4 linked regions of the Notamacropus eugenii genome follow. The protein of the gene in region 1 interacts with the protein of each later gene in a biochemical or structural test. Links are inferred from orthologs where the notes say so. Each region holds a gene or a part of one and is shown in the gene's direction. Other genes may lie near its edges.

What was found.
Region 2: the proteins of KLHL12 (region 1) and LNPK form a complex in vitro, tested with the Homo sapiens proteins (2 studies listed by BioGRID, with this or other methods). The link is inferred for Notamacropus eugenii from reciprocal best matches to the Homo sapiens genes KLHL12 and LNPK.
Region 3: the proteins of KLHL12 (region 1) and PDCD6 form a complex in vitro, tested with the Homo sapiens proteins (2 studies listed by BioGRID). The link is inferred for Notamacropus eugenii from reciprocal best matches to the Homo sapiens genes KLHL12 and PDCD6.
Region 4: of the proteins of KLHL12 (region 1) and SEC31A, one has a biochemical effect on the other in vitro, tested with the Homo sapiens proteins (3 studies listed by BioGRID, with this or other methods). The link is inferred for Notamacropus eugenii from reciprocal best matches to the Homo sapiens genes KLHL12 and SEC31A.

Annotation. Positions count from the first base shown.
Region 1 is NC_092873.1:437,285,070-437,292,409, forward strand, and holds the start of KLHL12 (kelch-like protein 12), read left to right. Parts: upstream 1-4,338; 5' UTR 4,339-4,469; intron 4,470-4,871; exon of another isoform or gene 4,872-5,323; intron 5,324-6,341; exon of another isoform or gene 6,342-6,431; intron 6,432-7,340. UniProt on the Homo sapiens protein: Substrate-specific adapter of a BCR (BTB-CUL3-RBX1) E3 ubiquitin ligase complex that acts as a negative regulator of Wnt signaling pathway and ER-Golgi transport.
Region 2 is NC_092876.1:238,536,198-238,543,960, reverse strand, and holds the start of LNPK (endoplasmic reticulum junction formation protein lunapark), read left to right. Parts: upstream 1-4,740; 5' UTR 4,741-4,903; intron 4,904-7,497; exon of another isoform or gene 7,498-7,586; intron 7,587-7,763. UniProt on the Homo sapiens protein: Endoplasmic reticulum (ER)-shaping membrane protein that plays a role in determining ER morphology. Involved in the stabilization of nascent three-way ER tubular junctions within the ER network.
Region 3 is NC_092875.1:342,955,351-342,962,429, forward strand, and holds the start of PDCD6 (programmed cell death protein 6), read left to right. Parts: upstream 1-4,060; 5' UTR 4,061-4,317; coding exon 4,318-4,424; intron 4,425-6,143; coding exon 6,144-6,205; intron 6,206-7,079. Other genes in the region: SDHA (succinate dehydrogenase [ubiquinone] flavoprotein subunit, mitochondrial), read left to right, coding at 522-608. UniProt on the Homo sapiens protein: Calcium sensor that plays a key role in processes such as endoplasmic reticulum (ER)-Golgi vesicular transport, endosomal biogenesis or membrane repair.
Region 4 is NC_092878.1:150,497,463-150,504,400, reverse strand, and holds the start of SEC31A (protein transport protein Sec31A), read left to right. Parts: upstream 1-3,930; 5' UTR 3,931-4,224; intron 4,225-5,644; 5' UTR 5,645-5,648; coding exon 5,649-5,727; intron 5,728-6,938. UniProt on the Homo sapiens protein: Component of the coat protein complex II (COPII) which promotes the formation of transport vesicles from the endoplasmic reticulum (ER).

The DNA of each region.
Region 1 (7,340 bases):
GATTTGTCATTTGGTTAAAGGCCCAAAAGTCATCTGAGGATGAAAAGTGAAAATCAGCTTTGGTGACCTCAAAGAAGCTTTCAGCTGTGATAGACGCTAGACTGTGGGGGACTGAGTTGCTAGTGAGAAAATAGAGGCATCAGGTACCCTCTCCTTTCCTTGTTTCTACAAGACTGGCTGTGAAGCAGAAGAAAATAAGGTGGTGGTAGCTGACTAGAGCAGAAGTCTATTACATTCAGGGCATCTAAGGCCACGAAGACCATCCAAGTTTGAACCTTATTTTGTGACATTCTCCAACGATGCTGAGCATCCAAGGAACAACAGAGGAAGGATTGGGTAGTGAAGGAAACTCGGGATAAGCCTTGACCTTCAGAAAGCAGGCCAGAAAATAGGAATATGTCTAAAATGTCCCATAGCTTAAGAGATCTAGTATGTACCTAAACTGTCACTGAATGTTACAGAGTTAGGATCTCATAGGTTCCTTATACCTCTGTGCCACTTGAGGTCAGGTCAACAGGCATTAAGTACCTTCTATGTGCCCTGTACTGTGCTACATGCTAAGGATACAAAGAGAAGCAAAAAAGTCCCTACTCTCAAGAAGCTCACATTCTAACGGGAGAGACAACATGCAAACAACCATGGGCAAAGAAGCTATATACAAGTTAAATTGGAAATAACTGCAGAGTGAAAGCACTAGCATTAAGGGAGGTTGGGAAAAACTTCTATGAGAACGGGCTTTTAATTGAAACTTAAGGAAAGCCAGGACCTAGGGATGAGGAGGGAACGAATTTCAGGCATGGGAAACAGCTAGTGACCAGGGTGTCCTATATAAGGAATAGCCAGAAAGTCACTGGAGGACAGTAAAGTATAAGATTAATAAGGTAATAAATGGTTTTGAAGGGCTTTAAAAGCCAAACAGAATTTTATATTTTATCTTGGAGATAATAGCGAAGACACTGGAGTTTTTTGAATTGAGGAGTGGCAGTCAGACCTTCACTTTAGGAAGATGAATTTGGCAGCTAAGTAGAGGATGGGCAGGAGCAAAGAAAGACTTGAGGCTGGGAGACCAAGCAGAAGGCTGTGGCAAGAGTTTAGGCATGAAGTGATGACACTACCCCAGCACAGTGGTAGTGTAAGAGGAGTGAAGGGGCCATGTATGGAGATATTTCGAAGGCAGAATTGGCAGGACCTGGCAAAATACTGGCTGGGGGAAAGGGGAAGATAACAGTATAGAGTCAAGGATGACAATTAGGTTATGGGCTCAGGTGACAGGGAGGAGAATGGTACCCTGGGCAGTACTAGTGGAAGAGAGAGCTTGAGAAGAAATAAGATGAGTGCAGTTTTGGACTGTTTAGTAAGCGATCTATGGGACATCAAGTTCAAGATGCCTAACAAACAGCCAGCTGGAAAAGTTACCAGTAGCTTCTTGTTTATGAAAAACGGGAAGCTTGAAAAAAAGATGTGGCTGAGCTATGTTCTTCATATTTTAAAATTCCCTAAGTTCAGCAGCCAGATTTGGCCAAAACCCATCCAAGTGCCTTTTAGCCAGAGACGTATATGATTTGAGATTAGTGACTTGGCAGGGAAAAGTTAGAGGATGGACAGGTTCTGCAAAAGTCTGGTTTATTCCCTTTAACTTTCATGAATGATTCAACATAAAGGGACTCACTAGAAGAACCAATTAGAACAAAATATTAATAATGGATAAAATAATGAATTAAGTAACCTGTTTCAGTGAGCCAGAAGTGCTACATATAGTCACTAAATTCAACAAATGTTTACTAAGCATCTAAGACAAGATCATACAGCTGAGAATACAATTTTTAAAAAATGAAAAATCCTTTGCCCCCAAAGAGCTTGAATTCTGCTGGGAACTGCCTGTGTACACAAGATGGGTAAACATCAGGTTGTAAAGTAATTTCAAGAGAACAGAATACTAGCAACTGGAGGGATCTGGAAAGGGCTTATTTAGGAGATAATTAGTATGTGGGCTGTGCTTTGAAGGAAGTTAAGGGTTCAGAGACAAGTGAGGAGGAAGATATCGGAGAGGAGTGCACAGAGAATGATGGAATGTCCTGTGTGAGGAACAGTCAGACCAGTTTGGAAGACTGTAGCCACTTATAATTGTAAAATCAGAAAGCAGCTAGGTGAGTCAGAAAGACATGAGTTTAAATCCGGCCTCAGATACTAGCTGTATGACCTTGGGCAAGTTATTTAACCTGTTTGCCTCAGCTTTCTCAACTACAAAATGAAGATACTTCCCAAGGTTGTTGTAATGATAAAATATTTGTAAAGCACTTAATGCCTGGCACATAGTAGGTGCTATAGAAGTGCTATTATTACTATTATTTAAAAGACCTGGAAAGGAAGCAAGATTGTGGAAGGCTTTACATGTGAATATTTTGTATTCTAGGGACTGTAGGAAGCCACTGAAAACTTTGGGGCAGGGCTAAGACATGGGCAGATCTGTTGAGTTTAGGGAGGTAAGAGACTGAAAGGGGCCAATTAGGAGGCTAAAACATAGGTCCTATGGTCCGGGCTGAGAGGTGATAGTGGCCTGAATTAAGTTAGAGACTGTATTTTTAGGAAAAATAAGGATGCAGATGTGGATTAAGAATCAAGACTGGCAACTGACTGGATACAGAATAGGGAAATGGGGTTGAAGGAAAAGGCAAAGGCAAGGATGACTTCAAGGTTGAGAACTTTAGGTAACTGAAAAGATGATTGTGCCAATAGACATGGGGAAATTCAGAGGCAGGATGGGTTTTTGGGGGGAAATAGGAATTCCACTTTTTTAAGTTTGATGTGACTATCTAACAACCAGGTGGAGATGTCCAGCAGCCAACTAAAATTTGGAAATCAAGTTCAGGAGAGGTTAGGAGTCATCTACCCAAAAATGATTACTAAACTCATGGGAGCTGATAAAAAAAAAAAAAAAACACATCAGCACCAAAGAACATAGGAATCAAGAAGATTGGTGTCTCAACTAAAATCCCATCTACAGGAAGCCTTTTCCAAACTATCTTAATTCTAGTGCCCTGTCTTTTAGTTATTATTTACCCTGTATATAGCTTGTTTGTACATATTCATTTGTTGTCTTCCCCATTAGAATGAGCTACTACTTTATATTATGGGGGAATTGAATGTTTTGTGCCTCATTCTGTACCCCTTGGCTTGGCGCACACACACTACCCGGCATAGGAGACACATAATGAATGTTTGTTAACTGACTTATGGTGGTCCTGGAGGGACATTTATTACGGATGTGGCTATTATGTGCTAGGCACAGAGGATACAAAGATAAAAGAAGAAAACAGTTCCAACCCTCATGAAGTTTATATTCTACTGGGATGAAAACTCTGTACTAAGAAAACACAGCAGTGACAGCAAGAAACCAGGGAAGACTGAGGTGAACCTTAAAAGGAAGACGATTTCTGTGAGGCAGAGAGGTGGACTGTATTCCAGGGATGGAGACTGACTTGTACAAACGCAGGGAGGCGGGCGTTGGGAGTAGCCAGTTGGGGGAAGAGCAGATCTGCAGAGTCCCTGAGGGGAGAGGTCAGACTCGCAGGCGGTACCCCTCCCACAAACCGTGGGGTACAGGCTTTTACCGGCCCCGCCCGCTCCCATCTCCCGTGACTACGGAAGCCAGCAAGATCGCGGCGGACCCCACGCCCTAAAGGCCTTGCTTCCTCTAGGACCTAGTGGCCTTTCAGGATGAGGTTACGGCCGTAGGGCCGGACCCCGGGGCTTCGGGATTCCACGGAACAGTCCCGGAAGGAGGCGGCCCGCCCCCAAAGACGAGGGACCGCCCGAGGCCCGGGGGCGCGGATGATTCAGCCCCATTGTGATGCAGAGAACGTGGAGGGGGAAGAATCGGCCCCAGCGTCGACTCTGCCCACACCGGCAGGCGCCCCCCGAGCCCCGCCGGCCCCTAGACGCCGTTCTGAGTGATGGGCCTGGAAGGAGGCCACGGCTCCGCAGCTTTCCTCCAAGCGCTGAGAGGCGGCCTGGCCACGCGCCCGGGGAAGCCGGCCGCGGGCGGGTCCTGAGCGGAGGCCCTGCCCGGCCAGCCGCCGTAGAGGAGGGGCTTCAGCGTGCCGCCCAAACCCCGTTCAGCTCCGCCAAAGTCTCACATTCCCTCCTCCGCTTTTCCCACCGGCTCCAAGCGGCATCGGGAAGTGTGGTGCGGGGAGGGTCATGTGACCCCCCCTACGTCACGTGGCACTTGGAGGAGGCGAAGGGGGCCCGTCTTCGCGTTCCTTGCGTCATCACGTCGCGCGGCGACGGCGGCGGCGACAACGACGGCGGCGGCGACGACGATAACCACGATTCTGGCGGCTCCGGACCCGGGAGGCGGCGGCGGCGGCTGTTCGGCGCCCACCGAGCCGCCTGCGGGCCCCGCACCCCACCCCACCCCCTCGGGCGGGGGGCCAGCCCTGCCTGGCTGGGTCGGGCGGGGTGCTGAGGTGAGTGGGGTTGGAGGAGCCACAGTTGAGCCTCCCCTGCCCTCTCCCCGCCCCGTCCGCGCGCCGCCGCCCTCATGTGGCCGGGGAGGGACCCGGAGGCGCGGAGCCCGCGGGAGGACGGGGCGGGACTGCCGGCCGCTGCGCCCTGGAGCCGCCGCCCCCTTCTCCCGGGACCGGCCTCCTTCTGGGGCTGGGAAGAGGGCCTTTTGTCATCCTGCCGCAAGTGAAAAGTGGACCGATGTTGAACCGCACGTTCCCACGACCCTTCCAGACCCAGCTGGGGAGGGGGGTCTGCTCGTGACGTGGGGGGGTGGCTTCTGTGAGCGCTGATTTTGGGTGTAGCGCAACCGGACGTGTTTTTAAATGGGAAGGCACTTCAGCGATCATTAGTCCGACCCCCTCATTGTACGGCCGATAAACCGAGAACCCCAGAAGTAACGCCTTGCCCTCACGGGACACAGGGAGCTGGCAAAGCTGATTCCACTTGTCTTTCCTTCTGATGGCAAGAGACAGGAATAAGCATTTATGTTCCTCTTACTGTGTGCCAGGGTCTGCGCTAAGCACTCTTTTTTTTTTAAACAAACGTCTCATTTGATCCTCACAGCCACTCGGTGGTTTTTTTCTTTTACAGTTGAGGAAACTGAGGCAAACAGGTTAAGTGACAGTTAGTGCTTGTGTAAGGCTGGATGGAAACTTGGCTTTCTCACCTGGGTCCAGTGGTATTTTACCGTTGTGCTGTCTAGCTGCCTCGTATGTGACATTTCTGTGCCCTCAGAGTGGTTGCACAGGCTCCTCCTCCCCACTTGTAGTGACACCCCGAACAGAAGAGAATCGACAGCACTCAATAACTCAAGGTCCCTTGATTTTGTAATGGTTTCTGCTTTGGTGATTTATGTTCCCATCTGTACAGTGGGAACAGTGATCACCTGCCCTGTACAGATGAGGTGTTGATTAACCTATTTTTTTAAAAAAAAAAAAGATAAGTAGTAATGAAAGAGTTGTCATAAGTATACTTCTGCTAATGAGGTGGCCTAGAATTGTCTTTGATATTGAAAAATGGTGGTTGAGAATAAGCTATCAAAGACTCCCCAATTTTACTTTAATCAATCATATTCTCTTGATCATTTGAAAAGCTTTAGACTGAAGAAAATGGGGCAAATTGTTGGTCTCCCCCATTCTTTCCCCCAAAGAGTATTTGTTTTTAAAAAATGGACTGATTCAAATTTAACCAGTCATCATATTTAATGAATTGTAACTGTGTTGTCAAACCATACGATTTTTTTATTTATGTAATGATGGCCATGAGTAACTGTTATTGAACCTGGAAGGTAATAGACTTTGCCATAAATCAAGTTGGTGGGTTTCCATGTGTTCAGGAGCCTCAGTTAAGCTCTTGGGTTGAATCCAGAGAGAAATTTTAATACAATATGATCTTATTATTTATTGATGCATTGTAACTTTGGTCAATTAATACCCAGTAACAGAGATGCCCTTTCAGAAAAAGAATCATAAAAGGTTAGTTTTGCAAGGGGCTGTAGAAATCATCTAATCAAAATTTTGTATTTCACAGTTGAGAGAACTAAAACTTGAAGAGGTGAAGAGACTCTTCCAAAGTTATACAAGTAGTTAACAGCAGAACCAGAGTCTGAACTAGTTTTTCTAATTTACAGGCGAAACTTCTTTCTACCACATTGCACTGTTTTACTCAAACCATTGCCCCAAGAACCCCTTAGTCAACAATTATTACTTAAATACTTCCTGTGTGCCAAGTACTAGACTAACTGCTGAGGATTTTAAAAAAGGCAAAAATATTTCCTGCCTTCAAGGAACCCACTATCTAATGGCAAACAAAACAAGCAAACAAATGAATATAAAAGGATATACAGGATAACTTGGAGATAATCTCAGAAGGCACTGGCATTAAGGAGAATTCCCAAAGTCTTTTTGAAGATGGGATTTTAGGTAAGACTTGAAGGGAACCAAGAGGTGGAGTCATAGAATCATTTTCTTAGAGCAAAGGTGTCAAAGAGTTGGCCCCAGCATTGCCGAAATCAGATTTACATGTAATTGGGAAATATCTAATAAAATTAACAAAAATACAATAAAATATAGGTAACATCTAAGTTATTATGCAGCAAGTAATAATAATTGAAGTTTCCTTGGCACTCTGAAGTTTGCAAAGCCCCATTACATAATCTCATTTGAGCTTCCTAGTACCTTATTGAAGTAGGTGCTTCAGTTATTCCCAGTTTACAAATGAGGAAAGTGAAGACCAGAGAGGTTAAGTGGCCTGTTTGTGGTTACCCAGCTCATATCAAAGGCAGGATTTGAACCCAGGACTAACTGATTCATAGTCCAGCACTATGAACTGAATTACTTTACCTCTAATATAGCCCATTTTGGTTCCAGCCTATTGCAAAATTTTTTGGTCTTTCATCCAGCATATACTTCCCTCTTGGCTTTACTTCATCTATGTATCTGATAAATGTTTCATCTCTATCTTTTAAAAAATTAATCTGTTGACCGTTGATTAAAAATTTCAAAGAGACTAGTGCTAAGGACCTTTTTTCAAGTTGACAACCAACGCTCCCTACCAACTGGAATCTTACCATTTAATTTACAAGGAATGCCATAAGAGATATTGTATAATATCATACACTAAAATACCAGGTACATTATTACCCTGATCAATTCTGACATGACTTGTTTTTAACTAACTTGTTCTGGTTCTTAATGATACCATTCTTACTACTCAGCCTACCAACTTATTCTTTTTTTAGGGTTTTGCCAGAGATCAACAGCAAGCTCATTAATAATTGAATTGTGTTAAATTTTGGGAATTTACCTTCTAGCCCTTTTTTTACTAGTCAG
Region 2 (7,763 bases), on another chromosome or scaffold:
AGGTACAAATTTATATTGTTAGCTAACATTTTCAAATGCAGAATGAAATGTAGAATTGAAGCAATATCTGGATAATGGCTAAGCTCAGTTTAGAGAAATGCTTTAGGAATTTTCATGTCTTTCGCTTAGGCATAATATACTATTAAAACTTTTAACCTACAACCTGAAACAATACTCAAGTTGTTCTCATATAAAAAAAAAGTCATTGATTTTCTTCAAAATTTTAAAAAAACTAATGGTCTAAAATCAGTCAAAGGTTTTCAAATGACTTTAAATATAAACTGTCATTATTCCCTTTTAAATTATTTTTGTAAACTTCTTAAGAAAGGTTAATTTTATGAATCCTCTTTTCTTGGAACCATGTCTACATAATACAATTGAACTGTTTATGACTTGGTAAATTTGATTTCTTATTTATTTTAATGGATGATTTTTTTACAATTAGACAAACTTTACATCTAGATGAATTGACTATCAAGACAGCCAAAACTACTGAATTGTGTCAGGGCCTAGTGGAGTTTAACTAGACATAACCATGTCTTGTTAACAGAGAAACTGCTATGCAGAGGTCTACCTAGTTATAGATTCATTATATTTAAGATTAATGCATTAAGAAGATTAACTTTATCTGGGAAACATTACAAAAATAGGCACTAAGCAAAGAGGTATATTTTAGTTTTATTTCAATATTGCTACAATTGACCTTCAGGAATATGCTTGTTTAAGTATCTTATAAAAATGATTCTATATATAGAAAAACACATACTAACCCTTAAAAATAGCTTCAAAACCTAAGCATGTTTTCACTTATGTTACATAAAATAAGTACATACTTATTTTATGTTAAGTCAGAATTTATTTAAACATTTAGATTACTTAGTGGAAATAACAGGCCTCAGAAAGAGATTTGACTTAGTTGTCTATTACTTGGGAATACTCCCGCCAGTTTTATCAGGAAAGAGATAAATAGCTAGGATTTTCAGTTGCCAAGTAGACCAAGCACTCTTCTGTTTCTATGTATTGTACTGCTTTAGGCTCTAATTCTGTAAGTGGCTTTTCTTCCATCTTATCTTCAAGTCTTAGTTTTCCAATTTTCACTTCGTCCTCATTTCTTTTCACCCTTTCTTTTCCCTTTTCTCTTATTCTATCTTCTTTCAAATCTTTGCACCAAAGCTCGTTTTTCATGCACTAGGCACTTTGCCTTTCTACTACTTCTTAAAATATTTTTCTTCTTCCATTTCTGACCACCTTATAAATCACCATGACTTAATATTTTTCCTGTTAGCTAGTGCCTTGTACATGTTTTAGTAAGCTCCTCAGGGCAAGAACCTTGTCTTCCATATTTTATGCTTTGTAAAGTACCATGTACTCTTATGGCTCCTATTAACAATAAATCTCACTATGAATTAGCTAAACCTACATCCTCCTAGTTTTATGTGTAAGCTCTAGGCACACACAAAGGCTAGTACTACAACTTATTTGGCACTTCAAGGTATCCTTATTTCTTAGATAACACTGCAATGCCACCTTTTGGTGCTCTCAGGCACACGACCCCAAACCCATTATGACCTTGCTTATCCTTTTTTTTCGGGACATGTCATTCAAAGCCTTTTTTTTTTTTAAAGAAATACCTTACTCTTTTTGACAATCTAGATTGAGGAATACATGTCTGAAGGTCAAGCTGCCTTTTAATTTCAAATAATGCTTGAAGGACAAAATTCCAAGTTTCTGAAAATGTTTTGTGTTCCAGTAATAAAAAAGTAGAAAAAATATGTCAAAAAGTAAACTGAATAAATATTTATGGAATTGTTAGAAATTAATATAGCTGCATACTATGTTTTCTCAGTTTTCCACTGAAATACTAGTTGAACATTTCTGGTGCATTTGCTTCAGGCTCAGATTAATAAATTAATGCAAATCAAGGCAAACTGAAGATGCTCAATGTATGGCTTAAAAGCCACAATTTGTTTTTTTGGGCACTCAGTCCAATGTTTTATTGTCAAGTAGCCAAAGATTATTTTTGGTATGTTTCTGCCAGGCAGTTTAGGTTCCTTTCCCCCTAATCAGGTACCTATGTCGCACTCTCAGATAATATTCTCAGAATTTATTTAAGTAATCAAGTCTCACTAAAGTGAGAGCTGGTATCTTAAGGAGACCTTTCCCAAATGTGTTACATTTACAATTTATAGGGGCCTACACAATGTTCAAGTTGAAGGGGATCTTTATAAGTCTAAGTCATTGTTTCTTAAAAAAAAAAAAAGGAAATTGATGCTGAGAAACAAAATGACTTGCCCAAGGTAATATGCAGGTGTGTTTGTAAATGTTTAACAATTGGCTCTCTAAGGGGAAAAAAAGGTAGGCAGGAAAACATTTAAGTTTAATTTGCATCACTGTTATTTTCTCCATCATGTTGTTAAGTCTAGATAATCAACAAAACAACAAACCAAACCCTGATTTATAGCTAAAATTTAACAATGGACTCTTGAGTGCCTGCATGAACTGGCTGTCACACACTACAGGTTATATAGCTAGCGCCTGGCAGAACTAAAACTTGAATTCAGCTCTCTGGAAACTGAATCTTATGTTCTTTCTCCTATATTACATCATCCCTAGAGACACAAAAGCATCAAGAATAAAATTAAAATTGAGCATGGTGGGGAAGACATTTCTGATGTCCTTGCAACTATTACAAATAGGTAACTTAACTTATTGGCAGAGCCAAGACTAGGGGAAAGGAAGGCAGCTGTACAACATGGGATACTTGAAATATTGTTTTATATGAAGGCAAATATTTCAAATGTTAGAACATTTTACTTCCCATGGTACATGCTCTGTGATAGATCAGTTTCCCAGTATTACAGTGAAGGATCAAAGCCTTTGGTAAATATAAATGCACAGGAGACTTAAATTTTCAAACTTTGCCCAGAGTGGCTTGGTAGCTATACTGGCTCTATTTTATAGCTGAAATTAACATAATTGATGACTTCTCTGAACATTGGTGAGGTGGAAGAATTTCATTTTCTCATGCTTAGTTTGAGGAGCCTACATTATTTGTGTTCTCCAGCCTATCCAGATTTCAGTTTTCCTCACCTGCTGGCCAGACCCCCCAGAGTCCCAAGATAAGAGTGACTCCAACAACACTTTCAGTCAGAATAAAAAGATCTTTGTGTCTGTCACCAAGAGTCATCATGGAATTTGTGATGAGATGTTGGCCTAATTTGATCTCAGGGCCAGTTAGGTGGTACAGTGAATAGATCCCTGGGCCTGGGGACAGGAAGACTTGAGTTCAAATCCAGCCTCAAATGCTTACAATTGTGTGATGTTGGCAAGTAATTTAATCTGTTTGCTTCAGTTTACTCATATATAAAATGGGGATAATAACAGCACCTACCTCCCAGGGTTGTTGTGTAAGATAATATTTATAAAGAGTTTAGAACAGTACTCAAGGTTATATCCCTAGGCCGAACCATAACTCAAAGCCAAGTATTCTGTTTTCAAATCTACTGCTCCTTTCGCCAAGCTTGCAAACTAGGGATCATCATTGACTTCTCTCTCTCTCTCTCACCCTCCAAACATAATCTGTTGCTAAGGCCTGTCAATTTTACATTCATAACATTTCTTGCATTCACCCTTTCCTAACCTCTGACACTGTCACCACTCTGGTACACAAGCTCTCATCACCTCACATCAGAACTATTTCATTGATTTGCTGGTTGGTCTTCCCACTCCAATCTGTCCTCCATTTAGGTGACAACGTGAACCTCTTAAAACTCAGATCTGATCATGTTCCCCTTCCCCCATTCAACTCCAACGGCTCCCTGTTACCACAAGGATTAAACACAAAATCTGTTTTGGTGTTTAGATCCTTTCACCTTTCCAGTCTTCTTAAAATTTATACTTCTTTCTGCTGCGATTTTGGGATACTATGCTCTTCAATATATCTCCAACAAGGCATTCTATCTCCTGAGTCTACTGGGGGCATTTTCTCTGGCTATCCCCTATGCCTAGGATGCTTCTCTCTGTTCATTATCTTCAATTTGTCCTGTGTGCATCTTGTTCGTACATATTTGTTTGCATGCTTTCTTCCCCATTAAACCATAAGCTCCCTGAGAGCAAGGGACCTCTTTTGTTTTTCTTTGTATCCGGGCGTTTAGCACAGCGTCTGGTATACGATAGGCCGTTAATGTTTACTGGTTATTCCATGTTGCCCTGTTCTGCTGTGGCTCCAAGGAATAAAAGTACTCAGAAAAAGAGGGATTAACATCAATTGCGATTTGAAGGTCCTAGAAATGAGGATTTGCCGCCACATTAGTCCACACTGCCGTTCAATCAGAAAGGTCCTCCATTGGAAGAGAAGAAGAGCGGGAGGCTCAAGGACGCCAGGGTCCCTTTGTCCGGGAAGAGTCTGGTGCCTGCCTCGCCGCCATCTGGGAGACATCTGGTTGGGGGGCACCTCTGGCCTGCCATTCAGCCTTCTCGGCTTCTTCTCCCTGGCAGCGGGTAGGGCTTCCAGAGGACTCTGCACAGGTTGTCATTTCCATCCGCAGCGCCCCTTGAGTGGTACGGGGAGGTCAGGGAGAAACAGGAAAAATGGCTTAGGCCGCTTCGAGTCCGGTCAAAGCGAGAAAAGAGGCGTCGGAGAGACGACTAGCCCCAGGCGCCCCGGCGCCGCCAGCATCAACCGCCTCAACTGCCCGCCCCCGTCACATGACAAGGGAGCGCGGCGCGCGGGGCGGCGCTGCTGATTGGTCGGAAGGCGGGGGCGCGGGGTTTGATGGGAAGGGGCTGCTGGAGCGCCTTGTCACTAGTGGCTGCTTGCCTGCCGGGGCGGGGGGAGGCTGCCAGCGACCGCGGCGGCGGCGGCGGGCGGGCGTCAGCGCCGGGCTCGGCCCCTTTCGTGCAGGTAGAGCCGGGGGAAGGAGCGGGGTGGGGGGGGCCCGGGTATTCCTTCTCCCTCTGGCCTCCCGGCACCGGTTGGCCTAAAAGAAAGAAAGGCGGAGGTGGCGGCGGTTGCAGCTGGGGGGTTTGAGCCGGGGGCTGACCCACTCCCGCCTCCTCCTCTTTCCATTTTGATGCCCAGCACCCCGGGGCCGTCCTGGCCAGGGGGAGGGGAGAGGAAAGGGCCGAGGTGGGGGGGGCGGCGAGGGGCTGTGGGCGTGTGTGGTGGAGGTCTTCCCAGCCCCGGCCGAGGCGGGGGTGGGAGTTGTCCTTCGCAGCCCCGCCCTTTCTGTACTCTTGGAGCTTTCTGGAGATGGAGCGGGATTGACGCGAGCATCCCCTCCCCGCGGGTGGGGGCCGGGGGTGGGCCGGAGGGACCCGTAGGTCCGGCGCCAGAGCTGCTGCTTTTGGGGCGCGCTCTTGCCGCCTCCCCACCGGACAGCCCGAGAGCTGAAAACTGTCAGTGTCATGCTGGCCAGCCCGCGACAGGGGAGCGGGCTCAGGGCGTGTGCGCCTCCGCCTCCGCCACCGGCCACTTGCCTCTTTATTTGGTATCGGAGCCCCGCTGGGGGGGAGGGGCGAGCGGGGAGGCTGTGTGGGTTGGGGGGGTGGGCGTGGCCAAGGGGAGGAAGAGGGGCTGGAGGAGAGGGAACCCAGTTTCGGCCGCGGGAGAGAGAGAACAAGAGGGTTGATGGATCAACTTCGTGTTGCTGAGGGCTGGTCGTGGAGACGAGCATGTAGAATACCCCTTGGGTGGCAACCGATCGCTTAGAAGTTGCTTGTAAAGCGACAGTTCTTTGGGGATCCTTGTCCGGGTATAATTTCGTAGTAATGCCTTCAGAACTCAGGCCTTTGTTATCAGTAGAAGAAAAACACCAGAGAAAAATTCCTTGATATAATCATTCTATTTAAAATGTGGTCACCCACAGATTTCTTATTTGAACAGCCTAGAAACCACTTTACACAGAAGCTTCATTAGTATAACAAATAAATGTTTCCAAAAGAAACATTGAAACCTTGTCTGGCAATCTTAGGGATTTTTTGAGAGTCAGGACACCCCACTTCCTTCTGCTTTGCATGTTTTCTATGTCCCTAAATATGTATGTACATCTATATACTTACATTTCACAGGGACTATCTGTGCCCAATCTGTGGTAAAGCATTTCGAGCTCATATTGTTCTGATTAGCCTTGAAACTTGACTTTATCATGGTGATGTCATTTTGGTCCTCTTTGAGAACAAAGGACAACCACTAACCACGTGTATGTGTATGTATATACATCCATACATTATACATGTGTTTGTTGGCTCCCCTGTTAATGTAAGCTCCTTGTGGGCAGGGACTATTTCAACTTTGTTTTTTTGTTCCCCCAGAGCACAGTGTATGAATTAACTTGAATTGGGGCTTATTTACTCCAGGGAGCTTCCCTTAGTACATGTTGCTTTTAGTATCTCCAAACTGTATAGTAATACTACTCTTCTGTCCTTCTTGGGCCATAGGTTGTTTTTTGAAAGAACCAGTTAATCTTAGCTGTGTCACAAAGTTAGGAGAAACAAATTTTGCAGTGGTGGGATGTGTTTAAAAATTTAAATTTTATAGGCACAGTCATCAGTGAAACCAAAGTTAGGTAATTCTGTTATGAGCAGAATTAAAGTAAAATATTAATAGCTGACAAATACATAACTGGTATCAAACAAGTTTATGTTTTTATAGACATAGACAGTACAATAATATACACAGTACAATACAAGTGTGTTATGTGTATTATGTGTATTATAAGGCATATGCAATACATATGTGTGTGATTTATTAAAAAAAGCATATAATCTTTATTTCCTTTTTTGTCCTTTAACCCCACAAGGAAGAGGTGACATATACATACTACTTGTTGCATTATTGAAAATTGGATCATTTCATAATAACCCAGAATATCCTTTAAAAAGATCTTCCTTTGGGGTATAGTTTCAGACAAATGAGGGTGATGTCAACAAATTGACAGAATTATAGTATAGTAAGTCATTTTAATAGCTTATTTACTTTTTGAAGGTTTAGGTTTCTATTGCAAATTGTCTTGAATCTTACTTTGAGTACTAAGAAGTGCTGGTGTATTTCATGGCATTCTGGAGGTACTGCCAATGATTATATAATCTTTATTAAAGTATATTTGAAATTTGATAAGTTAAATGAACCTAACCAAAATCTTCCTTTGCTTTTTCTCCTTTGGAAGAACTATGAGAGTATATTAATAAAATAGTGTATTATTTTGTTTTTATTTTTTATAGTAGAAAAAATGGAGGCAAAACAACTTTACTTAATACTAATTAACTTAATCTGTAACTTAAACTTATCATTTAACAATTTGTTGTACTTTTAGAAGGTACTGTATGTAATCCACTCTGAATAATATGTTGGTTAAGAATATCAATATCCAATCCCTAAGATTTTGAATTACAATTTCCAAACTGAAGTTTGTAAGTAGTATCTTAAAATATTTAGTTAATATAGTGGATAGTATTGCATATTGGAAAATGCATTATTTGAAAACTTGTTGTTCCAAGGTCCACTGGCACCTGAACTGGAATAGAGAAAATTTTTGCATGTTCTTGAGGGAGAGTGTCATTGGATTTATCCATCTCCTGATTTAATGGCAAGTGAATTATTTCATGCATAAATTTCTAATAGTAGAGATATCTAATCTTGCATATTTACCATGGGTGTTTTAGCTGGAGTAGGCCTTGAAATGTGAGTACACAGAAGACTACATGTGAGCATTGATGAAAGTATACATAAATTAAAGCAGAAGAAAAATGCTTCACTTATTTAG
Region 3 (7,079 bases), on another chromosome or scaffold:
GTTGAATTTGCCAGAATTTGAGATTTACTAACCTTGATTTCAGGAACATGGGGTCATCTTCACCATGATGAGGGTGTAAGTATAGGACTCCAATAAAAGAATTTCATAAGGAATAGATTTTAAAAATCAGACACTCAGCAAAAATAGTGCTAAGAGAAGGCTGTTGAACATTATTCTTACAGGATATCATTACTCCAGATTGAAAATATTATTAATTGAAATAGTTCAACTAATAGCAGTTGAATACAGAAAAAACTGAATGTTGAAGGGTAGTTGTATGGGAAATTTTCATATGTAAAGTCTGTGAGATCTGAATGGAATTTCTTCTTTATTGGTCAATCAACATATATTTATTGGGCACCTTTTATTTTCCATATAATTAGTTGATAATGAAGGTAAGAATTTTGGGGGGATTAGTAACTAGGACAGACCTCTTTTTAGAAACATTTTTTAAAATTTTTAATGAAATGAATAATATATTGTTTGGAGTGTAAGCTGACGTCTCACTCTCCTTTTTTTAGGTTTCTTTGGAATATAGGCCTGTAATCGACAAAACTTTAAATGAAGCTGACTGTGCCACAGTTCCACCTGCTATTCGCTCTTATTGAGTTCACCAGCTTTATAGATCAATTTGTGTAATTATGTATAATAATGCTTCATTGAGTCTGGCATATGTATGTAGCATAATGATCTTTTTAAAAAATTCTGTTAATTTGTTCAGGGTTAAAAAACAGTACTCATGATTGACTCAGATTATCTGTCTAATGGCTCATCTGTAAAGTGAAAAAATGCAACTAGGAAATATTAAGCTTTCCTATGCTTTTATTTTTTGAAGTGATAAAACCAGGCATGTTTCTTAAATAAAATATATTAAATTATCTTTGCATTCTTTAATATTTCAGAAGCTGTTTAAAATCATCTTACATGTCTCCTATTAGGCATATCTTTCTGTTCAATACATAGTGACAGTATGGTAACCTTGTGATAATGTCACATTGAAATTCAGAAATGCAGTAATGTTAAATAAAAGTGAAAAATAACTGCAACCTTCAGTACTTTTTTATACTAAGCAAATTATTTTGTTAAAGGTAAAGGCAAGTGTCCCAAGTCAATAAGCTCTGGTACTTGAGGACAGTTGCCAACTGTTGGTACTTGGGCTCAGAGAATGATTTCTATGATTGCCTTGTTTCACAAGCTGCTCCTTTAGTCATGCCCCACAGGATCCAGCTCCATCCCTCTGAGAAAGCTAACATAGAGTATCTATGTTGAGAATACAAAAACTTCTCTGACTTTTGCATTTTTCCTCCAGTTCAAAGGAGGTAACTTTCCACTTTACTCTTAAGAGAAAAAAACATCTCCCTTGCTGAGATATTTTTCCATCCATATCTTCTGTCTAGATGTTACTTGAAATACTAAGAGCTCTGGTTTTTCAACTTAGTATCTCCAAAGCTTGTAGTTCACTTGGGTGTGTTGGGCTGGGGTAGGGAAGGGGGCACAGGTAGAAGGACCACTAAGCTCAAGGAAGGCAGGGTATGTTGGCAGTCATAGAGGAGGGAATGGGGTGCCTCCTTGCAAGTGTTCCCCAAAGATTATCCAGATATTAGCATTTTGAAACAGTATCTACTGATCACAGTTTAAGAGCCTTCAATTATAACAGGAGATTGTTTTACTTCATGAGCACTAGATTTGGAGAGAGGATGTCAGTTTAAGTCTTTGCTCCCCAGCTTACTACTATGAGACTCTTGGCAAGTCACTAAATGGCCTCTGTTTTCTTGCCTTTAATATGAAGAAGTCCTTATTAATCTAATAAACAGTCAGTTGTGAGGAAAATGTTTTGTAAATGTTCAAGTGGCACATAGGTATTCAGAGTGTGTTCCCTATCAAGTACATGAGAAGGTTTGTATTATGAACAATACTCAGCATTAAACGGAAAAGCAAAATCACCTACAGTAAAGTTGGGGATACAGCCAATCAATCAGCATAGTAGCTGTACTTAATTAATTCCTTTGGGTTAGATGTTTGCAAAGGATGATGTCATCTGAGCACTCTGGGAGCCACATAATACGGTGAGCTTCCATTGTGAAGATGGCAAGTAGAAGAACTCTGAAGATTCACTCAAACACAGCTCCTAGCGATGAGAAACACCAAAACAGACCACCTTGCCGTGCCAAAATCAGCTATCCAAAGGGCATGGTTCATTTTTAGCACAACTGTTCATCAGCCTGAAAGAAAAGTTATAAATGGCAGGTGGAGAGTGATTATAAACAGAAAGTATAGTTATTCCATGTGGGGAGCATTGCTGCTCTTACAGGACATACCCACTCACACCCAATCAACAAGCATTTATTGAGTGCCCACTAGGCATGTGAGTTCTTTAAACCTAAAAGACATACTTAGGAGCAGGTCCATTTGAAAAATGCATATTAGGTCCTCTTAAAAGGAACAAAAAATACCCACTTCTACATTTTGCTTAATTCTTAAAATCACAGAATCCTACAGAGACATCTTGAAGATCTTCTAGCACATCCTCTGACAAAGCAGACTTTTTTCTGTATCAGCTGTGCCACTTAGTAATCTTGCCTGTTTTTGGACTGAATTGTACCTACAAGCTAAAAGAAGATTTTGGTTTTTTTTTTAACTTCCCAAGACGCAGCTTTTGAACTAGGATGGTACAATGGTAAAGTGATAGCGAGTAAAAGAAAGGCATTCCTAAGTGATAAAACCCTTACTTTTAGTAAAGAATAACTATCATCACTCCTTTTTGGTATGAGTTAGCAAGTTATCTGGAAAAGGCCCCAGGGAATTGTGGTGCTGTGCCCCAAAGGGAAAAGCACTGGATTTGGACTTGGAAGGCTGGATTTGAATCCTAGATGTCCCACTGAAACTCCCCAATGTGACCTTGGACAAGTCAGTTGGGAAGGTCAGACTAGACGGGCACTCCAAGCTTTTCTCTAGCAAGAATTTCTTTGGCCCTGTAAGAATGGGGTTTTCAGGAAGTGTCACTTCCATATTATTTTGTTTAGTCTGCATGTTTATGGCCATTCAGCACCCTCGTCCCCCTGCCCTTCACTTTCGCCTTTAATCTTTTGGAGGCTGCTAAAAATGATCTTGCATTATCTAGGCATATCTTTGGAGTCTGAATTTGCTTTTACAATAAACTGAAATTTCTTAATTTGCTTTTTAATCTTTGTCCAATAACTGTGTCTCTACATCACCTCTGTTTCCCGGGATGTTCCCAACTCTCGTCCCCAAACGATATTCCACCAGACAATCAAAGTGATCAGACTCATTAAAACTAGCCTGAACGTCGGGGACACTACTGCAGTCTTCCACACCTAGCATCCAGGCCAGAAGCCTGGGCATTGCTGTGAAGCATGGCGGAACAAGAGACTCAACGTTAGGGTGGCGGGTGAAGGTTCGCCAGGCACGGTCCTCCCCTCTGCACCTCACCGAACAGGGCGCTCCCGGCTGGGGAGACCCCCTGCTCACGAGCTTTGGCCTCTGCCACTCTGAAGGCTGCCCCTGCATCTTCCCCGCGGGGTAAGCAGGCGTGGGGGCGGGGCGGGAAGGTGGACCAGAATTCCCAAAGTGCCTCCCGGAGCCAGAAAACCGGTTCTACCTCGGGGACTCCCGCGAGCTCCACTTCAGGTGTCCCCCTCCTTACCCGAGGATCCCAAGGACCGGCCCCGGAGCAAATACCCCCAGCCGTGACCCTGAGCGGGCTGGGGTGGGGCAGGAGGAGTGGTCCGGAACACTCGGCCCTGCTGCTCCTCAGCCTTAGACTCCTTTCTCTAGGGGCTGAGAGTCGGATTTCCAAAGTGGGGGCATGCTTAGCCTTCGGACGGGTGAAGGTAGGGCTGCAGGGCCCTAGAGGTCCCCGGGAGTCCGGGGCTTCCGACCCCCGCCCCGCTTCGGTCACACACCAGGAAACTGAGGCCCCGGGAGGGGAACGCCAAGGAGGAGTCGCAGCTCGATCCAGGACTCGGAAAAAGGAGTCCTTCCTAGAGCCAGACACGCCCTGCTAGGCCCCTGAACCCGAGGCCCTCTGCACCCTCCTTCCCCCGGGGCCGGGAGGCCGCCCCAGCCTAGCGCCCTTCCGTTGCCGGGCAACGAGGCCCTCGCGTGGGCACTGGAGAGCCTCGGCCACGTGATGCCCCGCCCCTCTTCCCGGCTGTGACCATTAGCCCGGAAGTGACCTTCCTTTCTTCCGGCTCCTCCGCCCCCGCGAAAGAAAGCGGAAGTGGAGCAACCCCGCTGAGCCATTCTCTCCAGTTCGCGCTCCGCCGCTTCTCCTCTTACCCTCCCTTCGACCGGCCCATGTCCACTTACCACTACCGGACGGCCGCCGGGGGCGGCTCCGGCCCCGGCCCCGCTGCTGCCGCGTCCCTGCCGGACCAGAGTTTCCTGTGGAACGTCTTTCAGCGGTGAGGATGCGCTGGCCCCAGCCCCGGGTTTCCCCTTCTTCCCACGAGCGCCCCCACCCCGGGCTGGACGGAGAGGAGGCGGGGGGCGGGAGTCGGGTCCTCGGTGCACCGCGGCCCCGCTCCTCCGCTGCCCTTCCCCAGCACCCGCCTCGGGCACGGGATCCTAGCGGGTGCCCCCCGGCTCTGCCCCCCTCTTATAAACAGCGTTACAGACGAGGAAACTGAGACCCGAGAGCCGGGCTGCTCCCGCGGTCCAGACTTGGCGTCTGCCCCCGAGCCCCACGCGTGCCCACGGAGAGCGCGGATCCCTGGGGTCGTGCCCGCTTCCCGGCCTCCCACGGCCATCCAGTGCCCGGTGGAAGTGACCTTTGAGGCCGCCCCGTCCAGTCCCCTCATTTCACAGGGGTCCCCTGAGTTCTTAGGCTCAGCGTCTTGGCCTCCGACCCACGTATGGATTGCCCTGAGATCCAGGACCTCAGTCCCGAGGCTTCCCAGGTCGTGGGAGCTTGGGTGGTGGAGCTGGAGTGCTGGCTAGAGGTGATCTCCTGGAGAGGGCCCAGAGGTGGTCTGCCCGGCAGCCCGCTCACTGCAGACATGGCCCTGCACCAGGCTCTCTGCTCAGCTGTGGGTAACGTGGCTGAGAGGCAGGGCTAAATGGAGAGGAGGAAAGCCTTCCTTCTCCGAGCTGCGTGCCCAAGGGCTAGGAAGGAAATAGAGAAACACGTCCGGTCACTGGCTCCCATCATCTTTAGGTCTCTTGGTGTAGGAATGTTTCCTCTTGTCCGAAGGGGGGATTGTCAGGGACTGGTTGTCACTGATTGTGTCTGAAAATGAAGATGTTTTAAGTAATGAGGGTTTGGGAAAGGAGATGTGGTCGGTGTGATGGGATCCACAAGGAAGCAGGTAGAGAGCCAGGAGACTGCCTACTTTCTTTTCATGGATTTTTGTCAAATAGTGAGTTCTCTTTCCTGTGGCTATAGTCTTTGGATTTACCAAACACTGAATTACTAGATGAATGAAGGGGGAAAGCCAGAGGTTGGGGAAAATTGGAAGTGGTGAGCCTGATTCGCTCCTAGATCTAGAATGGTGATTTAGAAAGTATGATGACTAGAAACCAATGAAAGAATTTCCAAAACAGTCTATTCTCTCTGTCGATGGAGATACATAGATAGATAAGTAAGTAGATAGATAGATTTAAAGACTGGGTCCAGCTCAGACTGGAATAAAGGGACTGCTCCCAGGATGATCCCAGGACTCATCCAGCAAGTGATCTTTGACCTTCTTTTGTTGCCTGGACCTCTGTTTGTGACTCAGTATAGACACCTAATATGCTCCAAACTCCTGAGTTTAAGAGATCTGCTTCCTGGTAGCTGGGATTATAGGACCTGCCCCATCACATCTGACTGAAATTTTTATTTACTTACCTCTGTGTATAGATATACAAGTAGAGTTAAACATTTTTGCTTTTGAAGTAGCCAAAGAGAGTGTAGTCTTCTGAACTGAAACCAGGACAGAGTGGAAAAGTTGGGAGAAAGTAGTTGATAAATAGTTTGAAGCAGGAAGTGGGAGTGTGCTAGAATTAAAAACTTGAACTTATATTCTGAAGAAAAGTAAACTTTTAGGATTTAAGAGCTCACTTATCTTTGGCAGTATAAAGCAGTTCTGTTATATTTCTTTCATTTTTAGTCATCACTGTAATTATTTCAATTATTTCCATAGGGTTGATAAAGACAGGAGTGGAGTAATATCTGACAGTGAACTTCAACAAGCATTATCCAATGGTAAGTGTGATTTAGTGAGATTTCAAACTGCAAGCTTAACTTTTAGTCTGGTTATTTCCCTAGTTTTAGTTTCTGAGTGAGGAGTTGAAAATACCAAAGTATATTGTGCAGATAATTATGGGATTGACTGAAATGAATATGTGGTATGATAGAAACATATTTTTGCTCGTTTTATTTTTTAGACAGTTTCCTAATTACTGTAGCGGTCTCCATTTTGAGATACTTTATTTGTGTCATTTAGTGCCTGTAAGCATTGTCTTCCACTATTTGAGTGTGACATACTCAAGAGCAGGGATTGTCTTATTTTTCTGTATTTTTCTCCATTGTTCAGCAATGCTTGACATTGTAAACATACTTAATAAATTGAGTTGTAGTCCATTGACTTAAGTTCTAGATGTACAAAAATTGGAAAGTATTTGGAAAAATTGTTAGTATATTTGAATATTAAGGGAAAAGTAAAGAGTTTAACTGCAGAAACAAATCTTAAAGAGAGTCAAGAAGAACATTTAGGCCCTGATGTTTAGTAACTCTTAGAGATCCTGATCAGGTCACAGAAGGAACCAGTGGGATTCTCAGGTAACATTGATGGAGAAAGTTGTTAGAGGTTTTGGAGGACATCCATGTGGCACTTGTAAGGGAACTTGGTTGCTATAGAAACTGCTGAAGCTCCAGGGTTAAGTTGCTACAGAAATGATTGGGGATATCCAGTGGCACCAATAGAGCACCTCATTATAGAGGGGCGTCTTAATCAAGCACAGTCATTTTGGGGACGAATCCTAATGGAAGATAAGATGAATGAAATTACTGTTGGGGTTTCCATATTTAATATTTAATTTCCATATTTAATTCATTCTTATAGGTTTAGTTTTGTCTT
Region 4 (6,938 bases), on another chromosome or scaffold:
ACCTTCCATACCAACTAATTAGTCAAAAACCTCAGCTGAGGTAAAGAGCCAAATCTTAGCTGTACGCTTATTTGAGAGTTACCAGACTGTTGGGAGAGCATCTGAGTAACAGGAAATATGGGACACCTCTTAGGGCTTCAAGTTTGAAGGTGGTGGTAAAGGGAGAGTGCATCCCAGGCCGAGGTTAGACATTGTACTGTAGTCTAGGCCATATGCATGCAGGAACCTGAGGGCTCCTTATTTATAACAGCTTGTTCCTTTGGCTGAGGGTATTAGGAAACTGTTCCGTACGTAGGTAGTATGGAACTAAGTCCCAAATGAGGAAAGAACCTCCACTAATGTTGGTTGGCATCTTCTGCAACTTGCCAACCAAAAAAAGTACCTTGGGTCACTGAGTGAACTTAAGTGAGTTGTCCAGGGTCATAGAACCAGGATGTATACCAGGTCTTTTGAAACAAAAGTTTTGTTTTTGAGGTTAGTACTAGTCACTGCAGAGTAAAATCACCTTGGTTAATTAAGATCTGTATGTCAAGTACCTTAGAACTAGAAAGCAGTATAAGAGGGGGGGGGGAGTGTGGAAGCTGCTTTGGAAACAATAGTTTTTGCAAACTCTGGTTTGGTCATCCTTGCTCTCTTAGTAACTAGTTGTTTTATTTTTGTACATACTGATCTGAGTTGTTTTCCTAGGAATAAACCTGGAGAATATAACTTCATGAAAATGACCAGTTCTGGAAGGCAATGCAGTTAACACACCTGGGCTTTGTCGCTACAGCGTAACTTTGGCCAAGTCACTCTCCTTGGCCTCTAAAATGAAATCTGACCAGATGGACCTAAGGTCCCTTCCAGCTCTATTAATCTATGCTGTTACAGAAAAAGGTAAGCTTTATAGATGTCATTTCTTTAAATCTAGATTGCTAACTGAGGGACAATAGTATGTATCTGCAACTCTGATCCATATCGTTCTATATGGCTTTCTTTGCTCTTACTTATATCACTTTGTTTTTGACTCTTCCCTATCAGAAAAAGTGCTTACGTAAATATTTTGGCTTAAGTGGGGACTTTTTAATATACTTTTGGGGTTCAATCTCCTGGTCAAAGAGAATGGACCATTAGCAGCTTTACTTGCTTGATTCCAAACTGATAAAAATTGATTTTATTAATGTTATCGATTTATAGCTTGGCCAACAGTGCAGAAGTGGGCCCATTGTAGCACAGTCCCTTCAATATTGATCATTTGTCATCTTTGTCAGTTTGCAGGTTGTGACTCAAAGGATCTTGTGCTTGTGGAGTTTCAGCGTTAAAGTTCAGCCCAGTGTGGTTTTTGGAATGTTCGTTTCAGCCATAGTTACTTCACTTATTCAGCATCTCCAAGATATGAGCATATCTAAAATTGAACAAGTTTTTTAAAAATTTTTTCATCCATTTAATTAAATTTACGTACGAAGCTTCCTTATAAACAGAAAGTGAACGTTCCTCTTACAGCTGTTGTGGATTTGAGTTCAACTAACTCCCCAAGTGAGCAGTTGACTTCAACATATGCCATCTTCAGCAGACACAAAATGAAAATTAAAGTATTCAAAAAGAAATTAAACTTTAAAATGATTTTTTGATTGCTTCACAACACCCTGTACTGATGTGTCCCTCCTTAGTTTACATTTCTTTATTCTTAAAGTTTGCAGACAGGAGAGGTCACTTGCAAATTGGGTGAGATGGACAGTGATGGGCTTCCCCATCCCCTTTTGAGAGGTTAAGCAAGTTGGGATAACATGGGTTGGGCTAAATGGCCACTTCCAATTCTAAAATTCTGTGAAAGCAAACGGAATATGATTTAAATTGTTCGGAGTTAAATTCTGCTCAAAATGACTGACAGGTTAGATTCAAAATTTAACCTGTATGCTATCCCTAAACCTGTTCAAAATATCTGACAGGATTATAAGATTCCATAAATGACTTAATAGCAGACTCTACCACACTTTCCATTCATAATAGATAAGGGCTTATTTTTGCCTCCTAGCTCACTTCAGTCCTCCCCACCTACACACCAGTTCTCCTCCCACACCCCCTTCCTGCCTCTCTGTTTTATTTCACCAACAAACTTAAGTAGGAACCATCTTGTTTTCACATTTTTTGTATCCTTGGTGCTTAGAATATGACATGTAATTAATGACATAAATTTTAAAGCTGACTGCTGGTACTAAAAAGATCATTTGTATATGCAGAATGTACAAGATCTAGTACATGTACAAGATGGGAGATAAGGCCAATAAAGATCCTCATGATTTGAGAAAATTAGGAATTTGGGGTTTTTTTGTATATTGGATATAAACGCAGTGAACTCTGCTAGTTATTAGATAAATCAATGATATGGTCCTCAGCTTCACGGTGTTTCAACTTTGTAAGGTATTTCTACGTAGATAGGTTAGGTAAGCTCTCCCAACCCCCAAAAGCCTTCACGCTACAATATAGCCACTATAATTAGTCAGGATCTAATTTCAAGATTTTTATATCTACCCTTACATTCTCTTGTTGAGCTTAGCCTGTTATCCTATTTATCACCTATTCCCATCTCAGGTATCTCAAAAGTCACCCAAGGTATGACCATCTGAGGCTTCATAAGCTCTCCACATATCCAGTCCGTCATCTACCGTTAGAACAGCACTGCACAATTTAGAAACTTTGGGCTGCAGACAGGTTAGAGTAGGGACAGACTCACCAGTTGGTTATTATGGGTCATTCGACACAATTCGAAGGGCAAGTTCACATTTTTCACGTTGCTTGAAATCCTTTGGTGTGTCCCAGGGGCTGGATGTTGTGCGGGCCTGCTTCGTAAAATCTTGTATTAAATATTCCCATTCTCATCACTGCTCTTGACATTTCAATTGGTAACCCTACCTCACTTCTGCCCAATCCAGTCATTTTCCAGTCAGTTATCAGTGATTTTCCTAAAGCCCAGGTGCTACATTAAAACTTCAGTGGCTATTACCACTTGGATCAAGTATAAAATTGCACTTAGCATTTAAAGCCCTTCATATGACAGCTAGCACTTTAGCCATTATTTTAGTTAAATTGAGGCTGGTGCTTTAAGCGATTGGCTTGCGGCCTGGTGCACTCTCCTGACCTCTGCCTCTAGCTCACCCGGCTTCCAGTCGCGGAAAAATCCCTCTTAAAGGAAGCCTTTGCTAATCCTTTACACCTTCCCCCTCCCTAACTTCTGCACGGACTTCGAGGAGAGTGCATGGTCCCTGAGCGCTGGGGCCGGGTTTCTGCCTCACCGTCCTCCCTGCTCAGCGGTTCCTGACATTGTAGACACTTAATACTCATTAACAAACTTGCAATTCGGTAAAAATACGCCTTCCCGTCGACCCTGCTGCGGATGACGGAAAGCGCTTCGGGCCCCACGTGTCAGTCAAATGCAATCTGGGTTTAGAGCGCCCGTCGGGCCCCGGCCTCGCTGGCTCGGCCCGTCGCTCCCGGCTCTGACCTAAGCGGCCCAAGTCTCCTGATCCCGCCTGCGGGCCCCGGGACCTGCCCCTTCCCACACCGGCCTAGGCTGCGGGGTGGGCGGTGACCTCCTCGCTCTAGTCCGGACGCTCTTCTGGTGGTTCCGTCACAAGCCGGAGCCGTGTATTCCGGGCCGGGCTGCGGCCTGCAGCTCTGCGCCATGACCTGTGACCCTGACCCCGGGAGCAGGAGGACTCCGGAGAGGATACGTAGCTGCCTCGCAGTAGGGCAACTGAACGGAGCACGTCACAGGCGGGATTTCCTCTCCTTCCGCCGGATATCGGAAGTAACGTTTTCTGACGCCCCTGCACAAGCAAGAAGCACCGCCTCCCGTGGCAACGTCTGCGCCTGCGCCAGGAAGGAGCGCCCCGTGGCTGGATGCGCGCCTGCGCCCGGGAAAACCTTTCTTCTTCCACCCCGAGCCTCCCACCCCCTTTGCTCCCGGAAGTGTTCGCGGGGCGGGGCCGGGCCGCGGCTGCCACGTTGGAGAAGTTCACCGGTCGGGGGGAGGGGCAGCAGCAACGGCGGCGGCGTCTGAAGGAGTGGCTCTCGACTGACTGACTGACCGACGGCCTGACAGACGCCCCAGTACCCCCGTCACCTCCGTCCATCCCGGGAGCCTACTCCTCCTTGTCCGCGGCGGGCTAGGAGCCGGCGGCGAAGCAACGAGAGCTACGAGCCCAGCCCCGGCGGAGCCCCAGGGAGAGACCCCTCGGCTCTCAGGTGCGTACGGAGCCGGAGGCCGGGGCCAGCCCCCGCGCCTTTGCACCGCCGCAGGTGCCCGGTTCTCCTCCTCCTCCCCCCGCGACCTCTCTGGTGCTTGCGACTGCATCCTCTCACCTCCTCGGGGGAGGAACTGCACAGGAGGAAACTGAGGCAGGGTGGCGGGGCGGCCGCCGGGGTCTCGGGTCCCCCCATTCCCAGGCCGGAACCCAAGTGTCCGGCTCGCCCTGTTTGTCCTCCGGCCCCTTCCAGGCGCAGCGACTCTGGGGCTCGGGGCTGTCAGGGACCTTTGATCCCCGGCTCCTCCTCCTGCCTGCGCTCCTGGGCCCCGGCCCCCCGCAGCGAACTCTCTGTGTTGTGAAGGGGGACCCAAGTTGAGCCACGGGGTGCCGGTGAGTGAGCCCGGGGGCTTGGGAGGCGCCTCCGCAGCCCCCCGAACTAGGGAAGCCCGGGACTCCAGCATTGCATGCTCCAAACTTGGGGGATCCTCCTGAGCCCCGGGGTGCAGATGCAGGAGGAGCCAGGTTTGGTGGTGCGGAGAAGTCCCGCACGCTTCCACGGAGCTGTGCTTTCTGGGATGGGGGCGGGGGGGACAGACGGACCGACAGACCTTGGTCGGGTCATCAGACCGTAGAACCGGGCATGGAGGGAAGGAGGAGGGATGGAGACCCATGCGGGGCGGGGGGAAATGAAAAAGATCCAGGATCCACTTTCTACGAAGTTTGGATTTTCTTAAAAAAAATAATAGTGGGAATAAAGTACGTGGAAGTTCTCCCGCGTCCGGGTCCCAGTTCTCTTTCCTGGGTTGGTTGGTTTGCATTTCTAAGTCTGGCCTCCCTTGGCCTTAGAAAGTGTCCTGGTGGGCGGCTTTATGGTCAGTGACAGCTTGTCAGGTGTCATTTCTGAATTAGTATACTTAAGGGCTTGTTTCCTCTGAAAGATACTTAGTAGCAAAACTACTGCCATGGACGTTTGATGCAGTAGCTGGTTTGTCGGGATGTTTATCCTTCTTGCGAACTGGCCTCTTCCTTTTAGGGGATTTTTGACTTTTCTCCGGGAAGGTGTGAACCCTGCATCGTTGAAATTAGCCTCTGTTCGTCGGCTTGCCGGGCTGCTAATGCTGTGGGGATTAAGACCTAAGTCCCTTCACCTCTAAGTGCCCCTGGCAGTTTTCTAGCCCCACCACTGCAGAGCTGGTAGAGCTGGTGCAGATTTGCTTTGCTTGAGGGAGTTCCCTTCCTGAGAGCTATCTACAACGATAAAATTACTAGTCTGAATTGAAAAAAAGTCTGCTGAATTGGTCAGTTCCCTCTATTTAATGTTGCTGGTTATTGTTTACTTGTGAGGCAGCCTGAGGCACTGTAGGGATGGTCGGAGGTTTCTGGCCTTGTAATGCTGCCTCTATAATGTCGTTATACAGCAGGATGAAGCTAAAAGAAGTGGACCGAACAGCCACGCAGGCGTGGAGCCCTGCCCAATGTCATCCCATTTACCTGGCCACAGGTGAGCTGACAAGGGACATTTTGCTGAAAAATAAGTTTGATTAGAGTTTTTTTTAATAGCAGCAAACTTTTTTATTATGCACATAAGCAGCACTAGTAAGATATGAGACCGTCTCCTAGAGAATTGTAAATTTTGTTCTGAAAATTATTTGTCCCATCTGTCTCCTTCCCCTGTCTAGCCATGTTCTGCTTTTGCTTTCTCATCTCTGTTCATATATCTGCTTTGGTGTCAGACATGCCAGGATTTTGGATAGGATAAAGTCCTATCTTGTCACTTCCAGAGTATGAACTCTAAAGTACTTCAAAGCACTTTATAACTTGGAGCTGCTTCCTTACCAGTCTTCTCCCCCTTCTCTGTCCAATCCAGTGACATTGGTTTCCTTGCATGAGACACTCCACCTCCCAGGGCATTTTCACTGGCTCTCTACCGTGCCTGGCATGCTCTTCACCTCATTTCTGTCTCCTGGCTTCCTTCAAGTCCCAACTAAAATTCCACCTTCTACAGGAAACCTTTTCTAGTGCCTTCCCTTTGTAGGTTATTTTCAGTTTATCTTGTATACGGAGCTTCTTTGGACATGGTTTGCATGTTGTCTCCCCCGTTAGACTGAGAGCAAGGACTGTCTTTTATCTTTGTTTTCCCCAACACTTAGCCCAATATCTAGCACAGAGTGGGTATGTAGTAAATCTTTACTGAGTGACTGACAATGAAAATTCTTAGGAAAAAAGATAATTAAAAGGAGAGAACTAATGTCATTTTTAATTTTAAACTTTTTTGGAGAAGAGGATTGGGGACAAATGCATTGATAAATGTGTTTTAAAAATGTTTTCTGTAATGCTTTTTTTGGTAAATGGTATTTTATTTTTTCCAATTACATTTAAAAATAATTTTCAACATTCATTTTTTGTAAGATTTTGAGTTTCAAATTTTTTTCTTCCTCCCTCCCATACCCTCTTCCCAAGACTGTAAGCAGTCTGATACAGGTTAGACATGTGCAATCATGTAAATATTTCCACATTAGTCATGTTGTAAAAGAAGAAACAGAACAAAAGAGAAAAGCCACACACACACAAAAGTGAAAATAGTGTGCTTCAATCTGCATTCAGATGCCATCGTTCTTTTCTCTGAATGTGGATAGCATTTTCCATCATGAGTCTTTTGGAATTATCTTGGATTCATTGTATTGCTGAGAAGAGCTAAGTCAGTCATAGTTA